Canis lupus familiaris: one gene and its partners. The protein of the gene in region 2 purifies or fractionates together with the protein of the main gene of each other region. This does not show direct contact. Links are inferred from orthologs where the notes say so. Each region holds a gene or a part of one and is shown on either strand. Other genes may lie near its edges.

Region 1 (3,936 bases), on a different chromosome or scaffold from region 2:
GGCAGCAGGATCCCTGCCATAATGGAGGATGTGAGCGATACTTAACATGTCAAACGGATGAAAAACCCACTTTCCATCCCACTGCCCAGTCTAACAACTTACCATTGTGCATAAGACATCCTTTCTTAGGGAAAATATTTTTATTTCAGCCATATAAGCAAATGGAAGATTTATCAGAAGACAAGCCTGGTGGAAAGCTGTTAAACTTCTAGGTTCCCCAGGTGGGGTCCCAGACCATCACCTGAGAACGTCTTGGAAATGCAAGTTACCAGGCCCTTCTCCTACACAAAAACTCTGCGGATGCGGCCCAGCAATCAAGGTTTTTTTTTGTGTGTTTTGTTTTTAGCAATCAAGGTTTTAACGAGCATTCTCGGTAATTCTGATGCACACTTAAATTTGAAAACCATTGTTCTAGGCTGTCCAGTATGTGACCTTTTTCCCCCTTATTATTATCATTATTTTCGCTCCTTGATCATCGGCATAATCCTGCCGGCAAAACAGCAGAATCTTAAACTGCTGAGGGCATCTTTGTCATCATTCGAAAGCGGCGAATAACCGACTATCCGCGCAGAGTGCGTGATGTGGAAGGTGCTCCCGGGGGGGGTGTGTTCCTCGCGGGGACAGGCCTGCCCCCGGGCGTCTGCGACCCAGACAATGTCCCCACGCACAGGTGCAAAAGCCTAGAAACCGGCAGGAAGGCGGAGCAGCCGGCTGCAAGCCTTTGTTCGCCCCAACCCTCCCGACCGCTCGCCCTCCGTCTGCCCGCGCGCTCCTCCACCCAGAAAAGCAGCGTCTCCAAGCGACGAGAATGTGTCGTGCCGCTCAGGACGTTTTCTACTGGGCCAGTCTTCCCCGGGGCCCCGGAGAAGACGCGGGGGGCTGCGGGGGGCTGCGGGGGCAGGCGCCGGGCGGCGAGCGCAGGAGGCACGGACGCCGCGGCGCTCCCGCAGCTCCAGGAGCCCCGGGCGCTCGCCCCGCCCCGCCCCGCCCCTCCCGTCCGGGAAAGCCCGGAGCGGACTCCGCTCACGTCGGGACGGGCGCCGCGGCCGGCGGGGCCACGTCACTGCGCATGCTCCCTCGCCCCTCCCGCTCGGAGCCGGAAGGGGGAGCGCGGGCGGCCTGGGCCTGGCCTGGCCGGGGCGGCGGCGCCGGCGGCCATCTTGGCTTCCCGGGGCCAGGCGGCGCGGGGGGAAGAAGTTGTAGGGTGGGGGCCGGAGGGAGGAGGAGGGGAGAGAGAGGGGGAGGAGGCCGCGGCGGGGCAGGGCGGGGACTGCCTGCCCGCCCGGGTTGCGGAAGTGGTAGCCGCTGGCCGAGCCTGCTGCTTGCTCGCTGCTGCCTCGGCTTCCCGGCTCCCCCCGGACGGAGAGGCCGGCCCGGCTGTGGATGGTCAGATAGCTCCGGCCCCAATCCGCACGGAGCAGACGGCGGCGGCGGCGGCGGCGGCGGCAGGCGAGGAGGAAGATGGCGGGACGGCTGCCGGCCTGTGTGGTGGACTGTGGCACGGGGTAAGGAGGGTGGGGAAACTGAGGCGGAGCTGGGAAGATGGCGGCGAGGGTGCGGGCGCGGGGATGCGCCGCGGCGGGGTGCGGCCGCCGGGCGTCGGGCTGCCGGGGGTGGGGCGCGGGGCCGGGGCCGCGGTGCGGCCGGGCGTCACCCGCGGGGGCGGGGGCGGGGGCGGGGGTCCCGGCGGGGTCCCCCCGGAGGTGCCCCCGGAGCCGCGGGCGGGTGGGCGCTGCGGGGCCCGGCGCTCAGCCTCCGGCCCCTCGGCTCCTCCTGCTGCCGGCGCGCCGGGGCCGAGCGGACGGGCGGGGGACGCCGGGCGGGTGCTCCGGGTCGCGGGGACCCCGCGCGGCTCGGGCCGAGGGCGGGGAAGGGGGCGCCCGGGCGCCGAACCTGCGAGCCGGGGCCGCGGCTTCCACCGGGCGGGCCGCGCGCCCCTCGTCCGACCCCCGGGCTTCCCCGCCTCCTGCGCTCGCACCGGTGAGCCACGGGCACATTTTAATTTGAGAGAGAAGGATGTCATGTGTTAACTCGTCTTGCCTCGGACAGAAAAAAAAAAAAAAAAAAAAAAGGAAAAAAAAAAAAAGTCCCCTAGTGAGCAAGCGCGCCGCAACTTCCTTAGTTTTCTCAAAGCCGCTTCCTGCTTTCAGCCCTTTATACCCTTATAAGGTAGTTTTTCATTTCCAACCTGAACACCTCGTATTAGAACTTTTAGGATTGAGCATATTTGAAATGGATTGAATTACGGGCCCTCGACATCAGTTTGTAGGGACTTGAACACAGACGTGCGAGTGTTTTCCGGGAAGGGGGGGAGAAGGGAAGCCCCAGGAAAGTCCTTGAGGCCGCGCGCTCGCCGGGGGGGGGTGGGGGGGGTGGGGGGGCCTCGGAGGCTGTGGGGCCGCGGGGTGCGCTTGCTTTTCGGGGGGTTCCAGTGCGCAGGGTCGCGTGTAGACGTGTAGAACGGCGTTGAAGTGTATGAATAGGCGTTTTGGGATTTTGGCACACTGTTGTTTTCATAGGAAATAGTCTGTACTTTAACGTGGAACGACTTGTTTCCCTTGCAGCGCTGGGAGGGTGTGTGTGTCCGTCCTGTGCTGATACATTGTTTCATTCCTAATTCGCAAAATAATACACCGAGGGGGAGTCGGTTATGAGAGGTAGAGTGTCAGCCCTTGCTCCCTGCCTTCTATCATCCAGCAGACCTTCGTTGCATCAAGGATTGTGTATGCCCCTCTTTCCATTTACTCCCCGTAAAACGGCTCTATTTTTTTTTTTAAAGCTCTAATCTTCATACTCACGACTTTGTTAGTGTAACAGTTTCAAAAATCCCAGCCATGCATGTGGAAACAGCCGATTTATTAACATTCTCCTATTCTCCTTTGGAAAATACCAGCCTACTTTTAGCCGTGGAACTTCTAAATGTATTGTTTTGATGGACAGCTTATTAAAGTTATTGTTTTTTTATTTTTATTTTTTGTATATATATATTTTTTTTATTGTTTTTTTTAATCCTAATTTTCTTGACTCAGGTCCCCCCCCCCCCCCCCCCCCCCCCCCCCCGATCCAGTTGAGGAGTAGTTTCATGCTTAGGGTCAGTTTTAAAATTAGATTTGTCCTGAGTGAGAAGGAATTTTCAAGTGTGGGGTGTTTTGTTTTGTTTTTTTAGATTTTATTTATTTATTCATAAGAGATACACAGAGAGGCAGAGACACAGGCAGAGGGAGAAGCATGCTCCATGCAGGGAGCCCGACGTGGGACTCTATCTGGGACCCCAGGATCACGCCCTGCGCTGAAGGCAGGCGCTCAACCACTGAGCCACCCAGGTGTCCCTCAAGTGTGTTTTGTTAAAGTGAGAAATACTGTTATATAATTAATATTTTATGCTTTAGAAATTATTGGGTTAATAAAATTAGTGTGGATAATTGTAGTGCTAATGGTAACTAGAATGTTACTTTTCCCCCATTTTTCCCCTTTTGAAATAAATTCTGGTTATTTTTGAGTTAGTATTCGGGTATTAATCATTGAGGTTGACTGTCCTTAGCTGACCTCCTCCTGCTAGGGCAACCCTGAATTTAAGACAGGCTGAGTGTCCGGGAGGTCCCCAAGGGCTTCAGTCTACATTTAGGATTATTTTTGTTTTAGTATTTCAATTATTACGTTACTATATTTTACCTTATTGCATTAGTTTTACTTCACAAGGTGAGGTGGTTTAATGGGCACTCATGGTTTAAATGGAACTGATTAGGAGTCCCCATTGTCTCCCACCTTTTTTACCATCTGTCAGAGCTCCATTTATTTTGGTCTTCTAAAGGTTTCATGGTCCTTTGTGGTGGCTATCTAATGCAACTCCTGGAAAGTTATACCTGCAGCTTTATTAGCACATAGAGGATGGCTCATTGAGCTTGGGCCTGCGATAAGCATATTTAAGTAAGGCCT
Region 2 (3,500 bases):
CAGGTGTACGACATAGTGACCCAACTTCTCTATACCCTATGCCATGCTTCCTGCAAGTATAGCTACCATATGTCACTGTACAACACCCTTGACCATGTTCCCGGTCCTCCTTGTGACTACTCCATAACTGGAAGCCTCTACCTCCCACTCCTCTTTACCTGTTTTGCCCATCCCCTCACCTTCCTTCTCTGGCAACCATCAGTTTATCCTCTCTATTTATGAGTATGAGAATCACTGGGGTTTAAATCAGCATCACAAAAGCCACGGCTCTAGTCATCAGAGGCTGGGTGGTTCTCAGTCAAAAACCGAACTCTTACCCAAAGGACCACAAATCAAAGTTTATTTCTGGAAATTAATATTATCAAAAGAATTGGCAACCCATTTTCAGAACCAGATTTTTTAGACACAGTCCAATAATCTAAGTGTATGGATCATTCAATTCCAACTTTTAAGGGAGCTAGAATGACTGGGTAACACATCATAGACAACAAAACTCCTGAATTCTACCAGATGATGCTGTTACACTGGTTCTTACATAGAAAAACCAATCTTTTTCCAGATGTATCCCCATTCCACAGCCAAATTTCCACACACATTGTTTTTTTTTTTTTAAGATTTGATTTATTTATTCATGAGAGACAGAGAGAGAGGCAGAGACAGAGGCAGAGGGCAAAGCAGGCTCCATGTAGGGAGCCTAATGTGGGACTCGATCCTGAGACTCTAGGATCATACTCTGGGCCAAAGGCAGGCGCTAAACTGCTGAGCCACCCAGGGATCCCCTCCACACACATCTTTAAAACAAACAAACAAACAAACCACCAAATCCTTGGATATTGTTGGATATAATAAATCACAAGCCATGTTTTCTGGAAATTCTCCACATAGCCTACTAAAGAAAGATACATCCCATTTCCCAACCCACCGTGTTGTCAATGTGAAGTAACATTTATTTGCTTTTCTTTTGGCTAAGGGGAAAAAAAGCCTTCTTGGCAAAAAATAGCTTTAAAAAGCAATTACACTGTATGAGCCTTACAGCTCTTAGCAAAGTGGCTGTGTTTCTTCTAGCTTCACGCTAACAACAAATAAAAAACTTGAACTGAAAAGGAACAGCAGGGCAGCCCAGGTGGCTCAGCGGTTTAGCGCTGACTTCAGCCCAGGTTGTGATTCTGGAGACCTGGGATCAAGTCCCATGTTGGGCTCCCTGCATGGAGCCTGTTTCTCCCTCTGCCTCTCTCTCTCTCTCTCTCATGAATAAATAAATAAAATCTTAAAAAAAAAAAAAGAACAGCAAATAGTTCAGCACAGCATTGTTCAGCTATGTTTTGTTCATCTTAGCTTCAGCCAGGAATTTGCCAAATCTCTGCCTGGGTTATGAAATGAGAAATAATATCATAGTCTGAGGGCTTCTATACCTCTGCTCCAAGCAGGATATTCTGCGTAAAGAAAATTTCCCCGGCCCCACCCTCACAGCTCCCTCCTACTATACCTCCCAGTCCACTTCCTTCCTTCTCTGTGATATCTGTGTTTGCTTTCTTAGATCCCAAGCTCCTTTCACTTCTGAGTCCCTAACAGTGCCTAACACAGTACCTTGCAAGGAAAAGGAACCTGAAAAATACTTGAAAGATGAACAAGGAACAGATCAATTCTGTTTGCCAATTCTCATCTGCTCCCACCTGCATTTGAAATCACACGATCCTGCTGCCAGCAAAACATTGTTGGGATGCCAATCCAAGCTGAGGACCGTGGAGCGAATCGGCTTTTTAATGTGCTTGCTTACCCACCTACAAAAGAAGAACATCCATTTCAGTTTATCCACACCTCAAGCCTACCAAAGGGCCTAACAAAGGTGTGCTAGGTGATACACATGTGGCAACCAGGTCTTCTCCAGAGAGGAAGGCATAGAGGAAGAGGAGCCATAAATAGTCCTTTCTGTTCTTTTAGGCTTTGACATTCTTATCACAGCAGTCCATTCTGAACTTTCCTGGCAACCAGGGGATCCCCAGGAGTAACTATATTTATGGATTAACTCTGGATACTGCCTGTGGAGTTTCAGATTACATGTTACTTTAACTTTTAAAATACAATACGTGGTTTGAAATGACTTAGATTTTTTTTTTGGAACGCTGAAAAGCCTTTATTTATTTATTTATTTATTTTTTAAATTTTTTTAAATTTATTTTTTATTGGTGTTCAATTTACTAACATACAGAATAACCCCCAGTGCCCGTCACCCATTCACTCCCACCCCCCACCCTCCTTCCCTTCTACCACCCCTAGTTCGTTTCCCAGAGTTAGCAGTCTTTACGTTCTGTCTCCCTTTCTGATATTTCCCACACATTTCTTCTCCCTTCCCTTATATTCCCTTTCACTATTATTTATATTCCCCAAATGAATGAGAACATATAATGTTTGTCCTTCTCCGACTGACTTACTTCACTCAGCAGATTTTTTTTTTAATAAAGATGCAGCGACCTGTGATTTCACTTTGGGTTAAGTCTGGCTTGTAAAATAGCTCAATTTCCTTACTACGTCTCTGTGAAGCTGTGAATTACTATTTTCACAGAGAAATCACAACCGAGAAAATCACAACCTCTTATGGGAGGTTCTAACTGATACTCTAGCTCCACTTGAAAGTTTTTTTTCTGGGGATCCCTGGGTGGCTCAGTGGCTTAGTGCCTGCCTTTGGCCCAGAACATGATCCTGGAGTTCCGGGATGGAATCCCACATCGGGGTCCCTGCATTCAGCCTGCTTCTCCCTCTGCTTTCCCTCTTCCCTGTGTCTCTCATGAATAAATAAGTAAAATCTTAAAAAAAAAAAAAAAAGTTTTTTTTTTCTGTCTGAGATCAGTCCTTACTCTGGCTTCACTAATTCAGTTTCTACCCCTAAATTGCTGTTTAAAAATCAATCATGTTCTGCTGTTTAGGAGCTGAGAGACTGGGGCAACTGGGTGTTCAGCTGGTTAAGCATCTGCCTTTGGCTCGAGTTGTGATCCCAGGGTCCTAGGATCGAGCCCCACATTGGTTCCCTGCTCAATAGGAAGTCTGCTTCTCCCTTTCCTTCTGCCCCCCTTCTTGTGCTCTCAAAAACAAAACAAAACAAAACAAAACAACCCCCCCAAAACAAAAAACAAACAAAAAAACAAACCTTAAAAAAAAAAAAAAAGCCAAGGAGCTGTAATATCAAGCCAAATACCCATCCTTAAATGTCAAATTACTTTTTCACAAACTTTCTCTTAGGAACCTAAAAAATTTCCTTTTGAAAAATAGATAATATTCTGACTTGCTTATAACGTAGTTACTTTAAAGGTTTTTATTTATTTTTTTTTTTAGATTTTATTTATTTGACAGAGAGTACACAAGCGGGGGGTGGGGAGCAGCAGAGGGAAAAGGAGGCTTTGCATGGAGCTGGGAGTCCTATATGGGGGTTGATTCCAGGACCCCCAGCATCATAACCTGAGCCAAAAGCAGATAGATCCTTTTTTTTTTTTTAATAGGAGCAG
Region 3 (4,157 bases), on a different chromosome or scaffold from region 2:
AGAAATTCTGGTCTAGAGGCATACAGGTGAATGACTATCCTCAATCTGTATTTGAGCCAATAATGTATAAGTCTGTGTGCTGACTTAAATGTCAAGGGACTGATTTAAATGTCAAGATTTTAAAGATCATCTCTACCCCTAAATAGCTCAACTGGGTAGAGAACAAAAAAACCATATGATATAAAGGAGAATGAAACGGGACATAATCAAACTTACAAATTACATTTCCAGAAGAAATTGGTTTGGAAATAAAGATGAAAATAAGATTAGGAGGATTTTACAATAAGAAAAAGTAGACTAAGGATATTCCCAGTAGACAGACCAGCTTCTACCTACACTGGCTTATCTTCAGTTCCTTGTATTATCTACATTCTTTCTCATCTGAAGGCTTTACACATGCTGATTCATCTATACAGGACTTTCTTTCCTTTCTTGACTTAAGTCATCCCTTAGACCTTGGTGTATTCAGGGAAGGCCCCTTCCTTCCTCAGAGAGGCCTTTCTTGACTTCCTCCTTCATAGCATTTATTACAATTTACAACAATACATCCTTCGTATTTCAGTACAGTGATTTCTTTTTCACTAGACTGTAAGATTCATGCTTAACAGACCATGTCTCTTTATTCAAATCAACATACCCTGCACCTAGCTCAGTATCTAACATATGCAATGTCTTACTCCTTTTCTATACAATATCATGTGGAATACCGTAAGCAAGGTTAGAATACTGCAAAAAAAAAAAAATGTTAGGAGTTCCAGAAGTAGTGATGAGCAGTGTTGCTGCATACAGAAAGCATTTTAGATTGAGTAGATGCTGCTGCAATGGTAGCCTAGAGATTCATGGGTAATCTCAAATGCCAGGCTGCTGACTTTAGCTTTTCTTTTAAGGTAGTAAGGAATTGTTGGGGCTTTCTGAGGAGGAAGTTATCTGGCTTCACCAGTTGCATGGTGGTTCTGCAGAAAATGGACCGGAGGGAAATGAGACAAAAGGCAGAGAGGATTATTCAAGGAAGGGTGAGGAGAGCCTGGAGCAGTGGTGAGGACAAGCAAAGGGTATCACAAGAGCTGGACTGTCATAAATGTAGAGGATAATGGAATAAAAAACACCTTTCAATAAACTGTAGCTCACTCATATGATGAAGTCCTATTCAGCAAGAAAAAGGAGTAGTGACACATGCAACATGGATGAATCTCAAATGCATTATGGTTAATTAAGAAGCCACATTGGTTGGTTCAGTCTAATGAGTCTGTAACTCTCAATCTCAGGGTCGTTGGTTCAAGTCCCCCCCCACCTGATGAGTGCAGAAATTATTAAAAAAATAAACTTAAAAAAAAAAAGCCACATCAAAAGGTCTACATACTGAAGACTTCTATTTATATGACAATATAGAAAAGGCAAAACTATAGAAGGAAAAAAGAAATCAGTAGTTGCCTGGAATGGAGGAGAGACAACTGATTAACAGAGGGACTAAAGGGAGCTTTTTGAGAAAACATGGTTAATCTGACTGTAGTAGTGGTTACAGGATTGTGTTTGTCAAAACTCACAGATGATAAACTTAAAAAGGGTGACTTTTAGGTGGCAAGCCCCATGACACCTGCCCTTTGAAAAAATAAATGCATTCTCATGTAATACCTCAATACAGTTGACTTAAAAAAAAAAAAAATCCAAGAGGTATGGCCTCCATTAGAGAAAGAAAGAAAGAAAGAAAGAGAAAGAAAGAAAGAAAAAATAAAATAATAAAATAAAATAAAATCCAGACTGCTAGCTGAGGTAAGATGCCACAAAGCCAGGATAAGCAACATGGGGAAAGCTGGTTGAGAGAAAATGATTTTCGATCTGAAGGTGTGATCTGAAGGTGTCTTCAAGATATCCAGGCAAACCCTACAAGAGAGCTAGGAAGGCAGACTCATGAACCACCAGAATACACAAGGTCATGGAAGCCGGGAATGGACAGGCACCACTAGGGAAAATGTGAGGAGGAAGGTGGGGAACCAAAGCCTCGACTCCCAGGAAGACCGACATGTATCAGCTGCGAGGATTTCCAGGAAGGGAGGGATCCGTAGGACAGAGCTCTCGTACTATGGTTAAGGTTAACACGGTGGAATTCTAACCAGGAAGAGGTCTGGGTGGCGGCGGCATAATCCTTCCGTGGAGCAGAAGCAAGGCAGGGAAGTAAGCGAAGAGTGGGATAAGGAAGTGGAGACGCTTCCTTTGGAAAACTGTGGGGTCAAGCGGGCAGGAGAGGACAGGACAGTGTATTTAGCAAAGCTCTACCCTGGGTGAGGCGCCCTTGCTACGCCGGCCCTACTACGGGCGAGGAAGCCTACTGAGTGCCTTCAAGGCTCTCCCGCCGACCTCCCAGGCCCCACTCCCGGCGTCCTGTCGACGCCTCACAGTTCCCCACCTGGCCCGAAAGACAAACCACGAACCTGCGAGGCCTGCGTCCTCCCGGGGCGCCCCCCGCTCGCCCCTTCCTCACTTGGGCTCCCGCCCCGCCCTCTCCTCCCAGCCTCATCATGCCCCCACACCCCGCAGCAGCCCTCGGCCCCGGGGCTCTCCGCTGCAAAGCCGCCTCGCCCCCAGACCCACAGCGTTTGAGGCAAAACAGCGGGGGTCCCTGGCGCGGGGCCCGGCTCGCTCACCATCGCGGGCGCTGGCTGGGCCGGAAAGCGGAAGTGCGGAAGTGGCCAGCCCGCGACGCCTGCCCTTCCGCGAGGGGCGCAGCCTCGGTCTGCGCCCGGACTTCCGGACGGGACCACTATGCCCGAGCGGGGAGGGGGAGCCTGGGAGCCCCCGGTCCTTGGCAGGTCTCCCCGCTAGGACTGTCTTCACATCTTTAGACTGCGGAACTTTCGAATCGATGCGGGAGCTCATGCCGTTATCCACGCAGCTCTGGCTTGCGGCCCTGGCCCTCCTCTCGTCGTGCCCCGTAGTCGGGCAGTGGTGCGGCCCGGCCTCAGGTTGGGCACCATATTAGGACAAGGCGAGGCGGAGGAGCCCTCCGTTCCTTCCGGTTCTGCGCCCCTAGCCTCGCTCTGGGCCCCTCCTACCTGCAGCCCCCGGGGCTCCGCGGGAAGAGCTGCCGGGCGGAGGGCTTGGCTGCCGGGCCCCGCCCCCAGCCTCGGGCCGATCCCCAGAGTGGGCCTGAGGCCGAGCCCTCCCCCACCTGCAGTAGGCTCGCCCGCGGCCTGCCCACCCTTCCCCGCACGCCGCAGTGGGCTCCCGCCCGCGTCGCCCACCCCCGCGTCCTCTGCGGGGGGCCCGCCCCTGGCCAGTTCCGGGGCGGTTGCTCCACCAACCGGAACTCCCCGCCCCCTCCCGTGGCCTGGGGGCCGTAGGAGGCAGCAGGAGGCTGCAGTGAGGAGGTAGAGGGGGCGGGGGCCGCGTTAGGGGGTCCCCAGAGGACGGGGGCCCCGAAGGCAAGTCACTGGGGCGACCCGCAGGAGGGGCCAGCCACTAAACAGGCGCACTTCTGTGCCAGGCACTGAACTGGGCTCTTGACAAGCATCCTTTCATAATCCTCAGAGCATCCCGGGGAGGTAGGTACTATCGTGATCCCCATTTTACAGATTCAGACTTCTTATGGGGAGACAGACCCAGATTTCTTTGGTCCCCATTTTGTAGATGGAAAAACCGAGACTCAGGAAGGCTAAATAACACGTTTGGAGCTACATAACTAGAGAATGGTAAAGGCTGTGCCTGCCTGGCTTACCAGCCCATATTCTTAACCACTGTCAGCGGCCAAGAAAAGGGACCACGACGGGAGGGGGTGAGAGAAGAAGCGAGGAGGCACAGAGAACATTAGCATTGTAAGAATGGGATGTTTGGAGCTTAGAGGCTTAGCCAGACCCGGGAGCAGTAGGACAGAAGAGCATCAGAAAGACAGGGCAAAGACTCAAAACTATCTGGATTCAGATTGCCTCTTGGTAACCGTGGGCAGGTACCCACCCTTACAGAGTCTGAGTTTTCGTATCTGTAAGGTGTAGGTCGCCATTGTCCCTGCTCATGGGGTTGGGTGAGGAATTCAGTGAGAAGCCAGTAAAGTGTCTGTACCTGGCTTGATGTACAGCGAGTGTCCTGTGAGTAGGAGCCGCGCCATCAATCTTGTAGTTAGGTACCGAAGCCTGGCTTTCTCCTGGAGTCTGTCCCTGGATGGA

Evidence for each region. Proteins that work in one complex are often made in the same cells at the same time.
Region 1: the proteins of ARPC1A (region 2) and ACTR3 purify together in Homo sapiens (affinity purification with mass spectrometry; 7 studies listed by BioGRID and IntAct, counting the BioPlex papers as one, with this or other methods). This does not show direct contact. The link is inferred for Canis lupus familiaris from reciprocal best matches to the Homo sapiens genes ARPC1A and ACTR3.
Region 3: the proteins of ARPC1A (region 2) and ARPC4 fractionate together in Homo sapiens (co-fractionation; 7 studies listed by BioGRID and IntAct, with this or other methods). This does not show direct contact. The link is inferred for Canis lupus familiaris from reciprocal best matches to the Homo sapiens genes ARPC1A and ARPC4.

The regions. Positions count from the first base shown.
Region 1 is NC_049240.1:36,616,670-36,620,605, reverse strand, and holds the start of ACTR3 (actin-related protein 3), read left to right. Parts: upstream 1-1,136; 5' UTR 1,137-1,461; coding exon 1,462-1,505; intron 1,506-3,936. UniProt on the Homo sapiens protein: ATP-binding component of the Arp2/3 complex, a multiprotein complex that mediates actin polymerization upon stimulation by nucleation-promoting factor (NPF).
Region 2 is NC_049227.1:10,303,564-10,307,063, forward strand, and holds part of ARPC1A (actin-related protein 2/3 complex subunit 1A), read right to left. Parts: intron 1,782-3,500; coding exon 1,674-1,781; intron 1-1,673. UniProt on the Homo sapiens protein: Probably functions as a component of the Arp2/3 complex which is involved in regulation of actin polymerization and together with an activating nucleation-promoting factor (NPF) mediates the formation of branched actin networks.
Region 3 is NC_049241.1:8,520,228-8,524,384, forward strand, and holds the start of ARPC4 (actin-related protein 2/3 complex subunit 4), read right to left. Parts: upstream 2,801-4,157; 5' UTR 2,646-2,800; coding exon 2,643-2,645; intron 1-2,642. UniProt on the Homo sapiens protein: Actin-binding component of the Arp2/3 complex, a multiprotein complex that mediates actin polymerization upon stimulation by nucleation-promoting factor (NPF).